Arabidopsis thaliana: one gene and its partners. The protein of the gene in region 1 interacts with the protein of each later gene in a pairwise test. Each region holds a gene or a part of one and is shown on either strand. Other genes may lie near its edges.

What was found.
Region 2: the proteins of CIA2 (region 1) and GLK2 interact in a two-hybrid assay, tested with the Arabidopsis thaliana proteins (one large-scale study listed by BioGRID).
Region 3: the proteins of CIA2 (region 1) and AT1G10610 interact in a two-hybrid assay, tested with the Arabidopsis thaliana proteins (one large-scale study listed by BioGRID).
Region 4: the proteins of CIA2 (region 1) and ESE3 interact in a two-hybrid assay, tested with the Arabidopsis thaliana proteins (one large-scale study listed by BioGRID).

Annotation. Positions count from the first base shown.
Region 1 is NC_003076.8:23,165,767-23,171,528, forward strand, and holds CIA2 (chloroplast import apparatus 2), read left to right. Parts: upstream 1-2,007; 5' UTR 2,008-2,626; coding exon 2,627-3,730; coding exon of another isoform or gene 3,731-3,757; exon of another isoform or gene 3,758-4,357; coding exon 4,358-4,510; coding exon of another isoform or gene 4,511-4,528; exon of another isoform or gene 4,529-4,946; coding exon 4,947-4,997; 3' UTR 4,998-5,259; downstream 5,260-5,762. UniProt on the Arabidopsis thaliana protein: Responsible for specific up-regulation of the translocon genes TOC33 and TOC75 in leaves. Involved in the general chloroplast protein import pathway regulation, including protein import and protein translation efficiencies.
Region 2 is NC_003076.8:17,796,742-17,801,482, reverse strand, and holds GLK2 (GOLDEN2-like 2), read right to left. Parts: upstream 3,203-4,741; 5' UTR 3,049-3,202; coding exon 2,602-3,048; intron 2,221-2,601; coding exon 2,080-2,220; intron 1,881-2,079; coding exon 1,545-1,880; intron 1,192-1,544; coding exon 1,102-1,191; coding exon of another isoform or gene 1,057-1,101; exon of another isoform or gene 983-1,056; coding exon 836-982; 3' UTR 557-835; downstream 1-556.
Region 3 is NC_003070.9:3,504,240-3,509,563, reverse strand, and holds AT1G10610 (basic helix-loop-helix (bHLH) DNA-binding superfamily protein), read right to left. Parts: upstream 3,379-5,324; 5' UTR 3,102-3,378; coding exon 2,992-3,101; intron 2,686-2,991; exon of another isoform or gene 2,533-2,685; coding exon 2,335-2,532; intron 2,256-2,334; coding exon 2,192-2,255; intron 2,115-2,191; coding exon 2,046-2,114; intron 1,966-2,045; coding exon 1,531-1,965; intron 1,428-1,530; coding exon 1,227-1,427; intron 1,149-1,226; coding exon 972-1,148; intron 884-971; coding exon 812-883; 3' UTR 564-811; downstream 1-563. Other genes in the region: PERK11 (Protein kinase superfamily protein), read left to right, coding at 62-223, 321-563; AMSH2 (associated molecule with the SH3 domain of STAM 2), read right to left, coding at 4,374-4,548, 4,630-4,682, 4,765-4,827, 4,921-4,995, 5,076-5,138.
Region 4 is NC_003076.8:8,706,212-8,709,679, forward strand, and holds ESE3 (Integrase-type DNA-binding superfamily protein), read right to left. Parts: upstream 1,675-3,468; 5' UTR 1,445-1,674; coding exon 1,362-1,444; intron 1,259-1,361; coding exon 796-1,258; 3' UTR 534-795; downstream 1-533.

The DNA of each region.
Region 1 (5,762 bases):
TTTTGCAGAAACGTTTGAAAGTTTAACATAAAACTAACCTTGAAAAAGTAAGTCAATGAAAGAAATAAATTTTCAATTATCATGTCTATATATATATCCAAAAAATTATCTAAAATATAGATAAGAAAGTATCAATTTATGCTAATATTTTTTTCCCAAATATGCTAAATTAGTAAATTTGAAAAAAAAAAAAAATCTTACTAATAAAGGGAAATTAGTAAAATAATAAAGTCGGTTTTTTAAGAACACGTGAAAACGTCTCCGACCAGGCGACCATAATCAGTTAATTGAGAAAGCACCACGTCATCAAAGAAATCTAGTAGAGCCAATGGGTATGTGCCACGTCAATGGATAAGGTGACCTTTCCTCGTTTTCTCTTTAAGATCCCAAAAAGATTTTGCAGATTTGGATGATGATGATGTGGTTTTTACATCTTTTTAGAAAATAATCCAAAAACAGAATCACATTTCCCTCCAGTCAAAAAGGATCATTAATGACTATTACTCACTAAACAACCTGGATTAAACTCTTGAGCATCTTTTCTTGGTTAAACTTTATTCAAGAAGAACAGAAATCGGATATCACAACCAAATCAATAAATTAAAACTGAGAAATCTTATTAAAACTATTACTATTATCAAAAATATATATCAAATTTTAAATAAAATCTTCTACAAAACCTGTAAAAAAATATAACTTCGAATTCTATTTAAAATCTAGATATCATAAACTAAAATATAAACCAATATATGGCTTCACTTCTAGCTACAATTAATCAGGGTCGGCTCAAAATAATAAAGGACCCAGAGCTGAAAAAAAAATTAGTTCTCATTTCCTATGTTTTGTTATGTAAATCTTTTTTTTGGATCGTAATTGTATTAGATTTACTTCAAAAAAAAGAGAAATTTTGGGTTGACTCTGTGCCTCGCTCCTCCGGCACATGTGTAGAGCCGGACCTGCAATTAATAGAAACAAAAATTAAACTAATATATGGTGACTCTAAATTGAAACTAAAACTAATAGTGGATAAATTTGTTTAACTCTATACTAGTTTAAAGAGCTGAAATTAAATATTGTGAATGGTAGAACTCGATTTTTGGTATCAACTAAGAAGAAAAATCCTCAACCTCAACTAATATAATACTGCCACAGGCTGGATTAGACAATTGATCGGCGCTACATCATTACTTACCACTTAATCGATGATGTGATTAATATTTTTCAATCATGAGTAATTTCGATAAATCACACTCAAAATATTTATCCCCCTTTCAAATTAATGACTGATCGCTGTTATATTACTTACTCACCACAAGATCGATATGCAAAATAATATCTTAAATTTTTGGGTAAAAATTATTGTGTAACAAGTGGATAATATCAATAAATCAATACATAAAAGATTTACTCAATTTGAATTAATGACTTACTGTCGTTATATTAATGTAATACATAAAAATTTAACTTTAAGAATGAACGATCGTCGCTACATTACATTATTACCAAATCGTCACAAAATTAATATTTTATATTTTGAGTAAATGTTAATGAACAAATAAATTTGTTAAATCAACACATAACAAATTTAATTCAATCGTATTATGACCGATCGTTGCCACAATCATATCGCTTTATTATAGGTTTAACAATTGATTTTTCATTATTTTGTTTTCAATCTCCAAATCATTTCTCAATAACTCTCAAACATTGTTTAAAGCTTTTTTTCTTAATTAACATTATAACAAAAAAATAAATAGAGAAATTTACTTTGATTCAAACACCAGTCATTGTAGATTAGCCAAGAGTTTTCAGTAACAAAATTTACCTTATAAACCTTTTGAATGGCTATTTCTGAAATGGAATAGAAATCTTTAGTCGTGGAAGTATCTCTATCCATAAGAAAACTCGTTTTACAAAGTAATTTTAAATCAATACAAAAAGTGAAAAAATCCACTGGTGGACCCCATTCATTCCAGAATTGCCGATTACGAGCTATCTTGTCCCTTCTTCACCATTCGCTCACTCTCTCTCTCTCTCTCTCGTCTTCTTCTTCCCACCACTCTCTCTGTTTCTCCACAACTTCTCTTCTCAAAGTTAAAATTACCCCTAAACCAAAAAAAAAAAAAACGCTCTTCACTATTTATTTACTAAACTCTCCTTTGTTTGTTACTAAGCTCTCACTAAAACCCTAATCTTTCTCCTCTTATATATCTCGTGACTCTTCTTTCTCCTCCAATCTCTCTCTCCCTCTTCACAAACCAATTAGCTTCTTTCTGTAAAACCTCACTCGTTGGCCAATTCTTTTGGTTTTCATACACATAAATCTCAGATTCCAAATGGGTTTTCTTAGCTCTTTCTTTCAAATGATGAACATTTGTTAGCAGAATCTTCCTCTTTCCCTAAAGTTTTGATCTTTTTTTCCCCCTTCAATTTTGTATTTTCTCACCAAATAAAAAAAGGTTTCTTCAGTGGGTTTTAAGGGTTTATTATTATCTTAAAATTAAACACAATTCTTTAATCAAAAGGCAAAAATCTTAATTTCATCACTCTCTTCTCACTCACAAAAGTTCTTACAATCTTCAAAGTTTTGGTCTTGTTTCTTTTCCGATTTCACCGGACAAAAAAAATGTCGGCGTGTTTAAGCAGCGGAGGAGGAGGAGCAGCAGCATATAGTTTCGAGTTAGAAAAAGTGAAATCACCACCACCATCATCCTCAACAACAACAACAAGAGCTACTTCACCATCATCAACAATCTCCGAATCATCAAATTCACCACTCGCAATCTCAACGAGAAAGCCAAGAACACAACGCAAAAGACCAAACCAGACTTACAACGAAGCAGCTACTCTTCTCTCTACTGCTTATCCCAACATCTTCTCCTCAAACTTGTCCTCTAAGCAAAAAACTCACTCTTCATCAAACTCTCACTTCTACGGGCCATTGCTTAGTGACAACGACGACGCTTCTGATTTGCTTCTTCCTTATGAATCAATCGAAGAACCTGATTTTCTGTTTCATCCAACGATTCAAACGAAAACAGAGTTTTTCTCAGACCAGAAGGAAGTTAACTCCGGTGGAGATTGCTACGGTGGTGAAATCGAAAAGTTTGATTTCTCCGACGAATTCGATGCTGAATCGATTCTCGATGAGGATATTGAAGAAGGAATCGATAGTATAATGGGGACTGTGGTGGAATCGAATTCAAATTCGGGGATTTATGAATCTAGGGTTCCGGGAATGATCAATCGCGGTGGAAGAAGTTCTTCTAATCGGATTGGTAAACTAGAACAGATGATGATGATCAATTCATGGAATCGAAGCTCTAACGGATTCAATTTCCCGTTAGGGCTTGGATTACGAAGTGCTCTCAGAGAAAACGACGACACAAAATTGTGGAAGATTCATACCGTTGATTTCGAACAGATCTCGCCGCGAATTCAAACTGTCAAAACCGAAACTGCAATCTCCACCGTTGATGAGGAGAAATCCGACGGTAAGAAGGTGGTAATCTCTGGAGAGAAGAGTAATAAGAAGAAGAAGAAGAAGAAAATGACGGTGACGACGACATTGATTACGGAATCGAAAAGCTTGGAAGATACGGAGGAGACGAGTTTGAAGAGAACAGGTCCGTTGTTGAAGCTTGATTACGACGGCGTTTTGGAAGCTTGGTCTGATAAAACGTCGCCGTTTCCCGACGAGATTCAGGGATCGGAAGCTGTCGATGTCAATGTATGTTTAACACTAATCTCTTCTTAATCTCAAATCCCTCGCCGTTAAAATTCGATATTTTCTATGTTTATTTTTCTTTAGTTAATGGTTAGTTTGAAATAATTAATTATTCGGGATTCTGTTTTGGCCATTAGTATTCTGCCACGTGGCTGTTGAGGAGTGTGTTCTCATTAATGCTGAATTAGTAATTTATTAGCTATGATATAGTTTGAAGTATCTGACAAGAATTTATTAAATTTTGTGGAAAGTTCTTATTAATAATTTTTCCTGTAACGTATTTTGAAGAATAATTATTAACCCTTTGACTTTGGTACATAGTCTTCTTTTTATTATAAATAACATTTTTTTCTGTGATGACTTTCAATCAATTAAGAAAAAAAAAAGCTGCTTTTTATTTGTCCAATGAAAACTTTATAGACTGTGCACGTGAATTTTCACGTATAGGATAAATGAGGAGGTTCAAAATTTATTTTGTAGATATCCGTTTCGTCGAATACTCCTTTTAGCATAAAGTCTAGTAGTCTACAAAATAAGTTAACTAGAAATTCATTTTTGTCAATTGATTAGTATTTTGTGTTATTAATAATGTTGAACATGAACTAATGTGGCGTGTGTGTTTTGGGGCAGGCTAGATTAGCTCAGATTGATTTGTTCGGAGACAGTGGAATGCGAGAAGCAAGTGTTTTGAGGTACAAAGAGAAACGTCGAACTCGTCTTTTTTCGAAGAAAATTCGATACCAAGTTCGCAAACTCAATGCTGATCAACGTCCTCGAATGAAGGTATCTAACCCATCTTAGTCAGTGGTTAAAAACATGTAGGTTTTTTTTACCATCCTTCAAAATTTGTTTTGAATCAGCATAATAAGACTAGCTTTAGTTTTCAGATTTAAAGTAGATGAGAAAACTCTTGTTGAGTTTTTCTATTCGTTTTTTTTCTTCAAGAAGATGAAATAAGCTTTCTTTTGGGTATCTTTATTCCAAATGAACCAAACCGAACAAGTAAAGGAAACTACGTACCACAAGCCAAACAAAAAGATTTAAAACCAAACCAAAGGTTAAATATATTAAGAATTGTCATCTAAAGGAAACAAAACTAACTAATAACGTTAGATTGAGGTCAAGGGCTAGGGATATATACATTAGATTTGATTAAGACAAGAACCTAATATTAATGTTTTCTTTTCTTTTTGTGGTTGGTGATGGGATGTGGGAACAGGGACGATTCGTGAGAAGGCCCAATGAGAGCACTCCAAGTGGACAAAGATAACAAGGATAAAAGAGCCTAGATTTATCTTATCTTTTTTTTTTTATCTTTTGTTTATTCCTTGTTTTATTTTTGTTTCTAAAATTTTGGCACCCTCCTTTTTTGTTTCTTTTAAGTTATGGTCCCTTTTGGTTTATAATTTAGATTTTTTGATGAGGGGGAGATTTGATTGAGAAAGTGAGGGATCAAAACTAATAAAAGTTTTTGTTATTAATAGAAGAAACAGAGCTCTTGAGATTTTAATGACTCAAGAAGCAAGTCAGAGACTTGGCTCAACAACAACAGTAGCAAAAAACAAGACATGGATTATTCACCAATCCCAATGGCTCAAACTATGTTGCAGCCTTGTACACCTGTTGTTTCGTTGCCCATTGCTTCTTTGAGTCATCAAAACCGGTGACAAATCATTGATACCTCTCAATATCTGTTTTTGCCGAGCCAAATTTCCTTTCCCAATAAAAACATTATAGAGAAAAAGCATATTGAATTAAGGGCAAAAATAGCTTCTAGGACGTGTTATATGATTTTTGAATGGTAGCTTCTTCTAGATACCATTTTATCTTTGACCAAGAATCGAGTGTTATTTTACAAGGCTTGACGGAATGGCAAAAACAGAACTCTCTGCACAAGGAATGTGTTGAGCTCATTACTTGTATACATGATACAAGAGATATCGTTTGGTTTATATACAGAGTTATTATGCACGAAACAAGAGGAAAATCAAATCAAACCAAATTGGTCTCTGGTAATCAGTTCAGTGGCAAAGAT
Region 2 (4,741 bases), 5.4 Mb from region 1:
ATTGTTATTAACTTATTCTGCATCATCACTTTGGCTTTTGATTGGTAATCTCTATCGCATGGTACAATATTTAATGCTTTAATAGTTTACTAAACACAAAAGTATATCTACAACTATTCTAGTATTTTTTTGTACTATTGTATTTTTTGTACCTGTATTTTTTTTACTTCTTTCAACTATTCTAGTATTTTTAAAACTTTTTCCGCTTTTTTGTTTTTACCATTTTGTGTCACCAATCGAATCCGTTTGAATTAAGTTTTTTACATGGAACCAATTAAAAGAATATTCGTATATCTAAACTCCAATTATGTGTTGTACTTTTTTTTTTTTTTTGCCACGATATGTTAACATTATCAATTGCAAATTTTTTTATGGACTTTAATTGAGTTTTAAAAATATTTGACTTCTTTGAAATTATAAATAGTCACAATCCATAGCTGTGAAAGTTGGCATTATAAAACAAAATAAGCCATTGAAAAAACACATGCGATATATATCCCGTCTAGTTTTCAATTGTATAAAACTATAAATTGTTGATTGAATAAATGATAGTAATGTTTTAAAATGTTAAGCATTTTTAACCCCAAAAAGTGTTGCATTTAGTCATTTTGCAATGATGCTTCGGGAGTTGAAAGTTAATAAAAATTACAGATTCTGCTATCGAAGATTATAACGATATATTAAAGTTGCTTAACTTCGATACATGCACTCATATAGAGAAATACATATGATCAAGCAACAAGGATTTATCGTCTTTCCCTTGCAAAAATACATAGAAGATACCAAAAAAATGAAGTTAAAAGTTTGAGATTTCGACAAATTTTGGAGATCTTTCTCAAGGAAGAGGAGGAACATTAGAAACTCCTTGACGTTGTAACTCCGTCATAACACCGTCAACCGACGGCGGTTTCAGTCCCAAAGGAAGCGGCAGCCACGGCTTTGATATAACGTCCCCAATAGCTGCATCTATGCTCTCATTCGACTGCAACCGTCAAGTAATGAAATATTGTTAATTATCCAAAATTTATTCGAAAACTTTTTTGGGTTATGTCATAATCAAAATCTAATAAACAAAATTGAAACCAAAAAAGGTGCACTCACGGGATGAATGTCGATGGGAGGATTAGTGGGTCCTAATTGTCTTGTGGGAACACCGATGCTTGAATGATTCGATGATGCCATACCATATCCCTACACATATATACACATAAACCATGATTAGAAATATGTTTTTGTAAAATCCATACATAATTCATAGCTCTAAATCTTTATTAGTTGTCTACATAAAAATGATTCATGATCTTGCAATCTTTTACTAATTGCGTTGTTAGACAAAACCACAATCTAATTCAATGATTCCGTTTTATACTTATATATGTTGCATGTGTTAAAAAGCCAATAGTGTACAAAGACTAGCTTTTTGCAGTGTCATGATTGTTCAACAAAGCTGATTTAGTTATGTCATTTCGATTATTTTTCATGATTTAACCATACAACTAATAATGGAAAAACATGTAACATTTTTACAAATGAATTATTATTACCTGTGGATAGAGTGGTTGCTGATGCCAGTACGGTGGATGACCTGGCCAAGATGCCGGAGCCGCCGCAATGGCCGGCATTGGATACGTCCGATGAGCAGACGCCGGAGTATTAGGCTTGTGTTTTGGCCACGTAGGATGACCCCATACGTGCAAAGGCCTGAAGTGACCATGATGCATTGGTGCCACGTGTGGAGGATAGCCTAAGGCAGGAGCTGTCCACGGCTTCTTCCCTCCTCCTCCTACTCCGGGCACTGCCACCGTGGCATGTCTCCGGAGATTCCAGCTGGCAGCTTCTGCTTCACGCGCTAGTAGATGTTTCCGATGTGACCTATATTTCTATCATTACAAGAAGAACACAACACAAATTAATCTTATTACACAAATCTGAGTTGGTTAGTATTTTACTTGTCTTTTCATAAAAAATTTTGAAGGAAAAACATGTAATCTATAAATTAGGTAATTACTATGTTAGGGGTTATAGCACTTGATTAATTCCTGTTAAAATTAGTTTGTATAGTTTTAGTCTAAAATTTACCTGAAGATGGCTAGCAACGTTGTGACGAGTGAGAGATTTAACGTTCATAATTTCCAAGATTCGAGACGGCACCGCCTTGTCTACCCCTAATTGCTCCACCGCTTGTACAAATTTCCGGTGTAACTCCGGCGTCCAATCCACCTGATTTGCCGGAACAATATATTAATTAATCAATAAATGAAAAGAAAAAAAAGGAATTCATTTTTTTTATAGAAAATTGTCTTACAGTTTTATAAAAAAAAATATTTAGTCCAAATAAACACACAAATTTGTATAGTCCTACTACACAAAACTTGGTTTTGGTCCTAGATCTACTCCAGTTATCAAACTTAATAATAATTGTGTATATGATAAATACACTAATTCACTAACTTTGTAAAAAAAATATTCAGAAACACTAGAAGTTTATGTTTTTTTAATGAAATCCTTAAAAAGGTTGGTGATTTCTTAATGGGATTTTTTACCTTTAAAGAAGAAAAAAAATAAACTAATCTAACATGGATAATTGGGAAATAAACACACCTTAGGTTTTTTCTTAATATCGTTCTCATCGGATAAACAATCTTTACTTTTCTTCCCTTTACGTTTGCCTCGACGCACCGTTTTGTCCCTAAAACCACCGTCACCACCACCACCACCCTCTTGCTTACACACACCAACGTCTCTCTCCGATGTCTCCGATGCCGTCGAAGTGTTACCCTCCATTTCTTGTTCCTCATCTCTTCCGCTACCGGAATATTCCCCAAGAATCTCCGAATCTATCTCCAAATCCGGCAAAACATCGTCTCCATCGAAACCAATGAAAAGATCGTCGTAGTAATCGATTCCATCAAGAAGATCATCGGAAAAATCCCCGACCGTCGTAAAGTCCGGCAAGTCTTCCGTCGTAAAATCTGCGAAATCTGCCGCCATGTAAGTATCCTTTGAGTTGTTTCCGATGAGTACTGGAGCCGGAGAAACAGTTAACATCGGAATCGTAAAAAAATGAAAATTCTAAAGGTTTTTTGAAAAATTTAGAGAAAACAAGAATGATACAGTGAAAGTAGTATATGAGTGTATATATATATATAGACGTGTGTGTCTGAATAGATATAGATAGTTCCAAGGTTTTATTAAAATCTTTTATATGCCGTATATATGTGTTGGTGGATACTGACATGAAAAATAAGTTGTGGTTGAGAGATAGGAGAGAGAGATTTTTAAGTTTTTTTATTCTTTTCGTAAATTTAATATTTTATTTTTGAAAATATTCAATTCAATACCATATTTTATATTCTAGTATAAGTTTATAATTGACAGTTTCCTTTTAAACATTATGGCTGTATTACAATGAATGGAAAAAATTACAAGAGCTATTAAAGATTTAAAGAGTCAAATATAGGAAATGAGAAATATTTTTGTCTATGTATACACTATTGAAATGCTCCTTTCTTGGTTGTCCCAAAAATAAAGAGGAAATGCTTTCTACATTTTTTTAGTATTTGCATAAAATGACAAAACTTTGACGACTAGCAATTAAGCAAATGCGTAAGTATTTTTTTAATAAAAAGTGATTTTTTTTTACATTTTGGAGTATAAGACTAATAATTATTTTGGGAAAAATTCAAAAATACCATTAATATTTTCTATTTATAAAAATATCAAATTTATTTTATCCATTTTCAAAAATATCACAAATATATGGATATAAAAAATTATAGAGTATGTTATAAGAAAGTTTATAAAGTCTCTATAACACATGTTATTGAGTCTTTGTAAAGTTTTGAAATTGTATGAGGTTTTGTACTTTTGTACGTCAAATTTTAAAATGATATTTTAAACAAATTTTCATTAATGCTTTTTTGAAAGTGGCATAAAAAATTGGTGCCTCAAAAAGTTTCCTAATTTTTCACAGTATGTTACTTCTTTTTTTTTTTATGTGGATTTCTTATTCATAAAATTATTTTTTATGTGTTTTACTTACAAAGTATAAAATGTTACAAAATGCATGCTTTTTCGTCTAATTATGCTATTTTAGAATCAAGCGCTACTACTATATAATAAGATTTTGTATAGCTTATATATATATATATATATTTATATATATAATAATAATTTTCTACATATTTGTTTGGGTATAAGTTTTAAGATCCATGATTTTTTTTAAGGAAAACGTTGTAAGAGTCCAATTTATTAAAAATAGTGGTGCATAAAGATAATTTAAAATAATTATTTGATTATTTATTTCACCAAAATGCATTTATCTTTGATGATATTCATCCTCAAAAACCACCAAAATTATACGTGTTTGAACTAATATAATTAAAGAATTGGTATCCTACAAATAATTTATTTAAACGACATTTTATGATAATAACGACAAATAAGAGTAAAGTCTATGATCGGATAGAATGGTTGTTCATAGTAGCAATAATTAATACGGTGTAGATTTCGACATACTGGATTATGGCGTGTATAAGATTTGTCTTGTTTCGGATCTTAACTAACACAAAACCTAAATGTTACATTTATCAAAAACGGTTTTTTACAAGGCGATTTGTTTTCTCCTTGGTTTTTCTTTTAGTTTTATTTTTTACAGAACTGATGTGGATATTCATAAATCATAGATAAAACAATTTATCCTACTATATTATTTGGGAAGTACATTTTAAATGTAACCTTA
Region 3 (5,324 bases), on another chromosome or scaffold:
GTGTTTTCAATATAAATGAAAAAATCTCATGAGGGTTGAATATTTGTTGGTTTTTTGGCAGGCACGTCCAAGGCTAATCGAGGCCATTGAAAAAGGTGACATCAGCGAAGTAGTGGATCCACGGCTAGAGAATGATTACGTCGAAAGTGAAGTCTATAAAATGATTGAAACGGCAGCGTCTTGTGTTAGACATTCCGCTTTAAAACGACCTCGTATGGTTCAGGTCAGAAATAGAAACACTTCTTGACTTGACCTAATAATATACAGCTAGAAAAAGAAACAAACCATCTGATTGATCAAGAGTGTTTCTCTTTTTGCAGGTTGTTAGAGCTCTGGACACGAGAGATGACTTGTCGGATCTGACAAACGGAGTTAAAGTGGGTCAAAGTAGGGTCTACGACTCCGGTCAATACAGTAATGAGATTCGAATTTTCAGACGAGCCTCTGAAGATTCCTCGGATCTTGGTACTAATACTGGCTACTACCCTAGCCAAGACTACGCCACTAGCCATGAATATGAATCTGAGAGCCGAGCCTTCAACACAAGTCACCGGAACCATTGAAACCAATAAATTAAACTCAAGTTGTTGTGTTTTGTTTTTCTTAGTTCTTAGGGACGACGACCCTTTAGAATTATATTTGTGAAAGATCTTAATGAAAACCCAATGACAAACCAGAAGAATGTATAGTTTCAAACATGTAAACTGTCACCTAAAAGCTTGTGAGAAATCATATCTCTAGCAGTAACTTGTGACTGAAGCAAACAAAACATTTGACCTTTTGAGGTTATGTACTCTGTTTTACTGAGTTTTCATATTGAAGTTATCATCATCTTGAGCAGTAAATCTCTCAATATTCCACATGCAATCCCGTCTTTGTTCGCCTAAGAATGAATAAATCCAAAACTGTTTATCAGAATTCAAGAATCTGAGATTACGTGCAGGGGCAATGAGATGTGATTACGTTACTACCTTGACATTGAGAACGGTCATGACTGTGAGATCGAGTCTGGTGAAATTGACGTCAATGATCTCAAGTTCACATAAATCTACAGCTTCTATCAACCTCTTGAATCCATCTTGTTTATGTTCCTGCACAACCCGAATCAAGAAATCTCGCTCACCAGTCTCGTGGACTTCAATTTTCACCTGAAAAGAAACCAGAGTTTGTGGGATTTTACAACTCAGATATAGATTATCTTGAAGGTCTATATATTCGAATAATACCTCGTTTTTCTTCACTCTCTTGTTGCTTTTAGAGGAAACTCTTTCAGCTTCTGGATCAGCTATTGCAGATTGTTCCTCTGCAGCGATTTCTTTGCATTCCATCTCATTGATTCCTTTAAGCTCATCTTCAAGTTTCTGCTTCTCCACTAGCAGTTCATTGATGTAATCAACAGCATCACTGAAAATTCCAATTTTGTTCAACTGCATATAGCACAAAGAAAGATAAATATAATAATCCTATGGAAAGTGCTACATTGACCACAAGAAGAGTGATCCAGAAACTGCATTGAGTTTCAGAAGAAACCTTTGTGATTTTAGGGACTACGGCTCTTAGACCATACATGGCCTGATTAATTCTCTCTCTTCTTTTCCTCTCTGAATGAAGGTTCTTTGATTTGAAGTTTTCCGTAGGAAGCAGCTTCTTATTAGCTTTGGAATCGTTGGCATTTTGCACCACAACATCCTTTTCCTTGTTCATTATCAAACACGGTGTTTGTTCCTCCCTGAGAATTTCCACACAACTAGCATTCGGGTAATTGCCGAAAAGATTCTGAGTTTCACTGGAGGGATTGGAAACACTTGATGATCCGCCGCCCTCAACGCTGAGATTCACACCGCTACTCATAGATTCCTCTGCTCGGGGAATGATCCTGAACTGCAGCCTTTGTTCAGGGAATGGTTCAAAGAAGGTGGTACAACGCGACATGATCAAATGCACCATGCTTTCATCAAACGGTCTCTGATACAGACCAACATTTTATGAAGTAACCACCAAAACCAATGACAGACTTTCTATGCGAAATGCTAACATGTTTTTACCATATCGAAAGCGAACAGCTCAACGAGACCATCACTCACAGGAACAAGAACACGAGTGCTGAACATTTCCTGCCAAAACACATGGAGATCAGATTGTTCTTATGATCAAACGAGTAAAAAAGGCTGACGAAAAGAGTCTTTTTTACCATTTTAGATCCTGAATTAACCAACCACTTTGGAGATTTTGACATCACTACTTCTCCATGAATCCTGCAATTGAGAAAGAAGCTTCATATTATTCTTGAAGAAAAAATTAACTTGAAAGGGGGTTGAATAGATGGAAACATACCCGGGATAGAGAGGCATGAAGAGAGGAAAACGAGAAAGCGCTTCACAAGCTAAGGTTCTTATACGATGCTTGTTGTGGTCATCTCTACAGAAAGAAGCCTTCTTTTTTCTCCCAGTTCCTCCTTCTTCTGAGTTTTCAAGCTTTATATTCTTATCAATATAACAACCACTGCAGCAGCATCCCACCCATTCAATAAACCTGTAGTTTAAATGGAATTCATACCAATTACGAGATGAAGATCATAAAACCCACAAACTTTTAGTAAAACTAGACAAGACAAAACCAAGAACAGGAGGTAGATGGTAAAGCAAAACAAACCATAAACCATTAAAATCAAAAACCAGATGAGCAAAAAAAAAAAAAAACAGAAACCAGAGAAATTTGATAGAACAGAGCCAGAAGTTACTAAGGACTAATCAAAATCAAAAAAATGGAAACTTTGCTACTGAAACAAAATAGTTTCAGGAAGCCAATAACAGAGCAAAAACAAAAAAAAAAGTCCTAATTCAGAAAGCAAAGATAAAAGACAAACACGAAAAACCCATCAGTATACATAAAAACGGAAGCTTTGCTACTGAAACAAAATAGTAGACAGCTGATGATGATTCACATGAACAACGAACAAATAACAAAGAAAAACCGGAGAGTGTGTTGAACCTAGAAGGATCATCACCGAGTTTCCAGATAACACATAAGTCCCAAGTTCTGGAATCGACAAAGGGTCGAAGAAACTCCTTCACTCTCTCACCACCTCTCATCATCATCATCTCACTCTCTCTCTCTCTCTCTCTCACTCTCTCTCTCTCTCTCTCTCTCTTACTCTCACTCTCTCAATCAACAATAAGAAAAGCCAAACAAGAAGCCTGAGTTTTGGTGATCTCTTTTGGTCTTACTTATAAATTGATGCAAGGAGAGAGGGAGAGAGAGAGAGATATTTGGCATATATATACAAAGCAGTTGCTCTGTCAAAACAAATCATATCGGGAATATACGATCGTACAAGACAATGGTAACCAACTTCACTTTTTGAATTAAAACCCAGAGAGAGAGAAAGAAAGAAGAGTGAATCGTCTGCGAGTCTCTGTACCCAAATCCGTGACAGAGGTGACTGTGACATCTGTAGAGAGAGAAGATAGGGTAAGAAAAAGAGAGGTTTTACTCTTGACTGTACGAAGAAAGCTATCATGTGCTTGAAAACGGCCATAAAGGGATTTGAAGCAAAACAAAGTACTGTATCTGTATGGGTTTTGATAGCAACACTCAACAATATGAAATGAGCTAGCTTTTTTTTTTCTGATAAAACCCATCCTCTGTACTATTTACTTTAACAAGGAAAGAGCTTTGATAGCTTTATTACTTTCAAAAGAAAAGTTTGGACCTTTGGTTCTGTTTTTGGGGTTTGTACTCTTGTTTCATGTGAAGAGAGGTATTTGGAATATGTCTTTACCAAAAAAGAGCTCAAAGATACCTTTTAAATTATTATTACAGCTAATTTATGGCTATTTTGTATCTAATTAATCAATCAAATGAGAAATGAAAAGAATGAAACTTGAATCAGACGAAAACTGTCAAAATGAATAATTTTTTAACAAGTCAAAGCTCAAGTTTAAAATTTTCCCGTCCTTTTTAAAAGCTCAACCATTTTCATCAGTCATCACTGGCAAGTTAAGAGGTATAAAATGGCGAAATATGGTGATAATATTAATGTAGTGTTATATGGAGAAATAGATGCCAATGTATACATTTGTACAGATATATAACAATTGCATACGCCAATACAATGTCTTATGTCTATGGTCATTGTTGTTCTTCCATAATGGAACCAATTGATCCAAATCTAAGGACATGACAATTTATTAACATTGCTAAGCTTAATAGAAGGTACCTTGTGTTCATAACCCGAATCAGACAGCCTTCTCAGACCAAGTATACAGTTCTGGTTAGGGTGGTGGTTATGATGACGGTTATTATTGACATCCTTAGCCCACAGTGGATAAAGTTTGAACCTTTTTACTGATAAGTCCACAGAAGTCGTTACCTTAACGTAGATCAAAAATCTCGAACCTAAGGTTCGAGTTCTTGTAGACGTTTGAGCAATGCTCATAAACTGGGTTCCCATCTTCTGGTTCTTTGTGCGGGTGGAATCCAGTCTCTGAGCAGCCTCTCAGTACCTCCATTCCTCCAGGGTCCGTTAGCTTAAATATCCCGTAACTCCTGCCAAAAAGATCAGTTTGAGAGTCTATCAAGGAAATATGTTGACTGTATAATTGACTCCATAGCTTTGGAAGAACATACTTAGAGCTATCAGTTGGAGCTACGACGATTGCAAAAGCCTCTGGCACCATTACCTAAGAATGACATGATGGGAAACTGAGATCAGAATTGTCTCAAACCTAGTATATATGCAATTTGGAAACAGCAGAGATGTACCTGATACGAATAATGTGTATGCAGATCTACAGATGACATGAAACAACCCTGAGAAGGATGAGTCTGGAAAATATGCATAACCTCGTTATAGTAAGTCAAGACAAAGTAGATAAACAGATCACTAAACATGGAGGGAGCTAGAAGAGAGAGATATACATGAATCCATCCTACGGGATAGAGTTCTCTTTCGTTTTGAATGGAAAACACTTCCACTTCATTCATAGCCTGACACTGCCAATTTTAGCACCTGAGTAAGCACCTCATTTTGAATACCACAAAATGATCGAGATAATCTTTCTAAGATAACTCACAGAATTAGAAGTTGATTCTTGCTTAGGTATTATCAGAGTGGTTACATAAAAAATTCCTCTTTCCTACAGCATGAACAGAAATAGAAATGTAATTACCATCAGGTTCATGAAACTCGAAAAACGAAGAACCCTGGAACAGAAGCAAAACAACCATGAATCATGACCACAAAAGTCAAAACAAGGTGTAAACTTTAAACAATAGCATAGATCGAGTTTCACTAAAAATTCAAATTTGCAAAGATCTCTGTT
Region 4 (3,468 bases), about 14 Mb from region 1:
TGCTAGAGAATATTTTTATTTTCGTATTCAACCTTAAGGTAGTAAATGTAAATCATATTTTGTTACAAAAGTTAAAGTAGTGGTCGGAAAACACTAGTTTCCTTTTATTCGCATTACAAACAAAACAAATAAATAATAGGTTTGGACTGTTCGAAGAACAGAGTGTTCTAAGGAAACAGAGTAATTGCAGTCAAACACCTATTTTATGTAGCTAAATTATTTTTTCTATTTTAATATAAGGTGCTAGAAAACACAAATCCCTCTAATTAAAAAGTTGGATTTTATGGTCGTCAAGCCACAGCTAGGGACACTCTTTTTCTACTTAGCAGCAATCCCAAATTACCAAAAATAAAAATAAAAAAATGAAGGCCCACCGTTGAAAAATTAGAACATGCATGGAACAAAACCAAAAGCTAACTCAAAATATTCAAACTCTCATCTCTCTTCACTACTTTAGATATCTTTCTTCTCATTGTTGTATCTTTTCACTACATTAAATTCCCACTTTTTCACACACGAACACATGTGTAATTTTTAGTTTTTGGTTTCAAGTGTTCAATTGGTTTACATGGAGAAAAATCAGAAAATAACATTTTTTTATAATACTATACATAACATAGCATATGATCGATTGCTCTTATAGAAACTAGAATCAGTGTTTCAAAAGAGGCCAATTCAGATCAAAATGTCTTGAAATTAGCCTTCTCTCACTACTACTCTCATCACTTACGACGCCGTTTTTGTGGAAACAAAAATAAAAATGAAAAGAATACGCTAAAACGACAAGGCCATTTCTCACAGCGTCTGAGTTGGTAAAACAGAGCAAAGCTCAATGGAACCGTAGTGAAGCAGCTCCTCAATCATTTGCTCGATATGATCTTCCTCCAATGGCCTAAAATTCTGTTGCATATTCGCATTTCCATCTTCCCACTTGATCTCTGTCGTCTCCGTTACTCCTCTGTTCAAATGACTTTCGTTAGCCGTCACACCGTCACTGTCCGCGGATTGTGATCTTGCGGTCTGCGTTTGCGTTTGTGTTTGCGTTTGCTTGGTCATTTGAAGAGAAGCCATGTAGCATTTGTGGAGTTTAGCGGTAAGAGTTGCTGATAGAAGCTTGGAAGAGGAAGTAGGAATGGCATTAGGGTTGTATGGGAAATTAGTACGAGCTCTCGGGCCACACATTAGCCTAGCCGCCTCGTCGTAGGCCCTTGCTGCATCCTCCGCTGTCTCAAACGTCCCTAGCCAGATTCTTGTTTTCCTAAAAAAAACAAAAAAAAAACAAAAAAGTTTAGCATTACTCAAATAAAAAGCGACCGAGGGTAATTTCGTAATTTGAGAGGATGATGAGGGAGAGTTTTTACAAGAGAGGGTGACGAATTTCGGAGACCCAAGAGCCCCAATGCCTCTGTCTAACGCCTCGAAAGCGTTGTTGTGGTCGTGCCATTAGTGTGAATGGTAAATGGAAATAGGGTTTCAGGTGAGTTTGGTGTGTTTGTGGAAATGTTTTGAAAGAAGAAAGAATGATGAGAGTGAAGGAGCGTTTTTGGAAGAGTGAAGGGTAGCTATATAAGTAGTGTTGGCTTTAGCTTCATGAGAGAGAGAAATGTTTTTGTGTTAAAATTTTCTTTGGCAATAAACTGGCAATCAATTTGGTCCTAAATTGGACCCACACCATTACCAATACGACTCAGAAAATCTCATGGATTTTGTTTGATGTGAGAGAGAGAGTTATATTAATTTATTTAACTTAAAGTATTCTTAAATTTACTTCATTTGTTGTATTCGAAGTTGCTGCGACATGGGCAAATGGATTATCTAATTCTGTCACATATTATAGTGAAAATTGAAAGCTTCGAAACTACATGCTAAACTGTCGGAAAAGTGTTTTTTTTATTTAGAGATATTTTTTGGAAAGTATTATCGTAATTTATCTAAAAGTTAAAATAGAATTTAAATTATGAATTAACAAACTTATCACAGTTTTTGTTAGAATACAAAATTACAAATGTTCAATAGTTTCATATGAATTTATTTCTGTAACAAAAGCTAATTTTTTATCAACAAATATAAATTAATTAAAACGGTTTAGAAATCAAACCTAAGATAATTTAATCCAAACCTTTTTCTTTTCCTTTTGTCCCAAGTTACACATATTATACTTAGACAATTATAGTTATAATATCCTAAGTTATGGGGTATTTTTAAGATAAAACTAATAAATAGCTCTAAATATAATAACAACCCTACGTATATAGCATATATATTTATCAATTATTTTAATTTTCCCATTGTGAACAAGTTGGATCCAAAGAGATTTGGCTGCGGTGAAACTTCAAACCCACTGTACCTATTTTCACATGGGTTTGATCATCACAACATGTCTCTATATCATAGATACTGCCAAATTTTTCCCCAACTAATTAATAATAACGATAAATAATTGGAAAATATATAGTTTGATAACTAGCGAGACTCTTTCATCACCATTCTTCACCCATGTGAGCCTTTGATAATGACTCAATCAAACACCCAAAACCATCTTCGATTATCATCTTCTCTTTTCCCTTCTTTAATATTATTTTGTATTGTTATTATTGAAACAAACCTTAATGTATTGTCATCATACCCATGATTTCTGAGTGTACAGTTTACCTACGAGTCTGCGACCTATTAAAAAAAAAACTCTAATACATTATTTTTCAATTAAAAACATAGGTTTAATAATTAATAAATATGTGATTATGCCCATTACTGAAACTTGGAGAGGGAATTAGTATAATATTGCATAAACTTATCTACAATTTTTAGATAGTAGTATATGTTAATTGTATAGGGAATGTCACATAGTAACCACTTCTTATTTGGGTTTATATATGGATGTTTTTGTTTGCCAATTTATCTTTTGTTCGACAAAGTTTCATCAAATAAAAGTAAAGGTTATGTCGATCATATTCAGTCGCACGCATATTTAAAAAAAAAATAATCTCCAATTGAGACTATATCCTTTTAGAGTCAATTATAATTGGAATAAGAGGTAATAGAAGAATATGTTGGGCAAAAGAGTGTGTAGGTAGAATGGATACATCAAAATAACAAGTGCCAAATATTATTAGTTCAATCCAGTATCAAATTGATGAAAGAATCCTAGACCGCAATTATGACGACAAGAAAAACAACTAGAGAAGGTCATTAACTTTTTATCAAATAATTGATCATTTTCACCCTACTAATAATCATTCTTAACCCTAATAATTATTCAACATATGCTTTTTTTTGTCTGTATATTTGCATCCATGTCCATAAGAAAACGAAAAAAAAGAAAGTAACTTATCTCTCTCGGTGGTGTAGTAAAAGAAGGATGGTACTGAATGCTAATATCAGCAAGTTACATAATGGAAATATATATGTACCTTTGAAATAACAACATTACTACAACTGTAATTTTAATTAAACAAAAATAATTTTGAT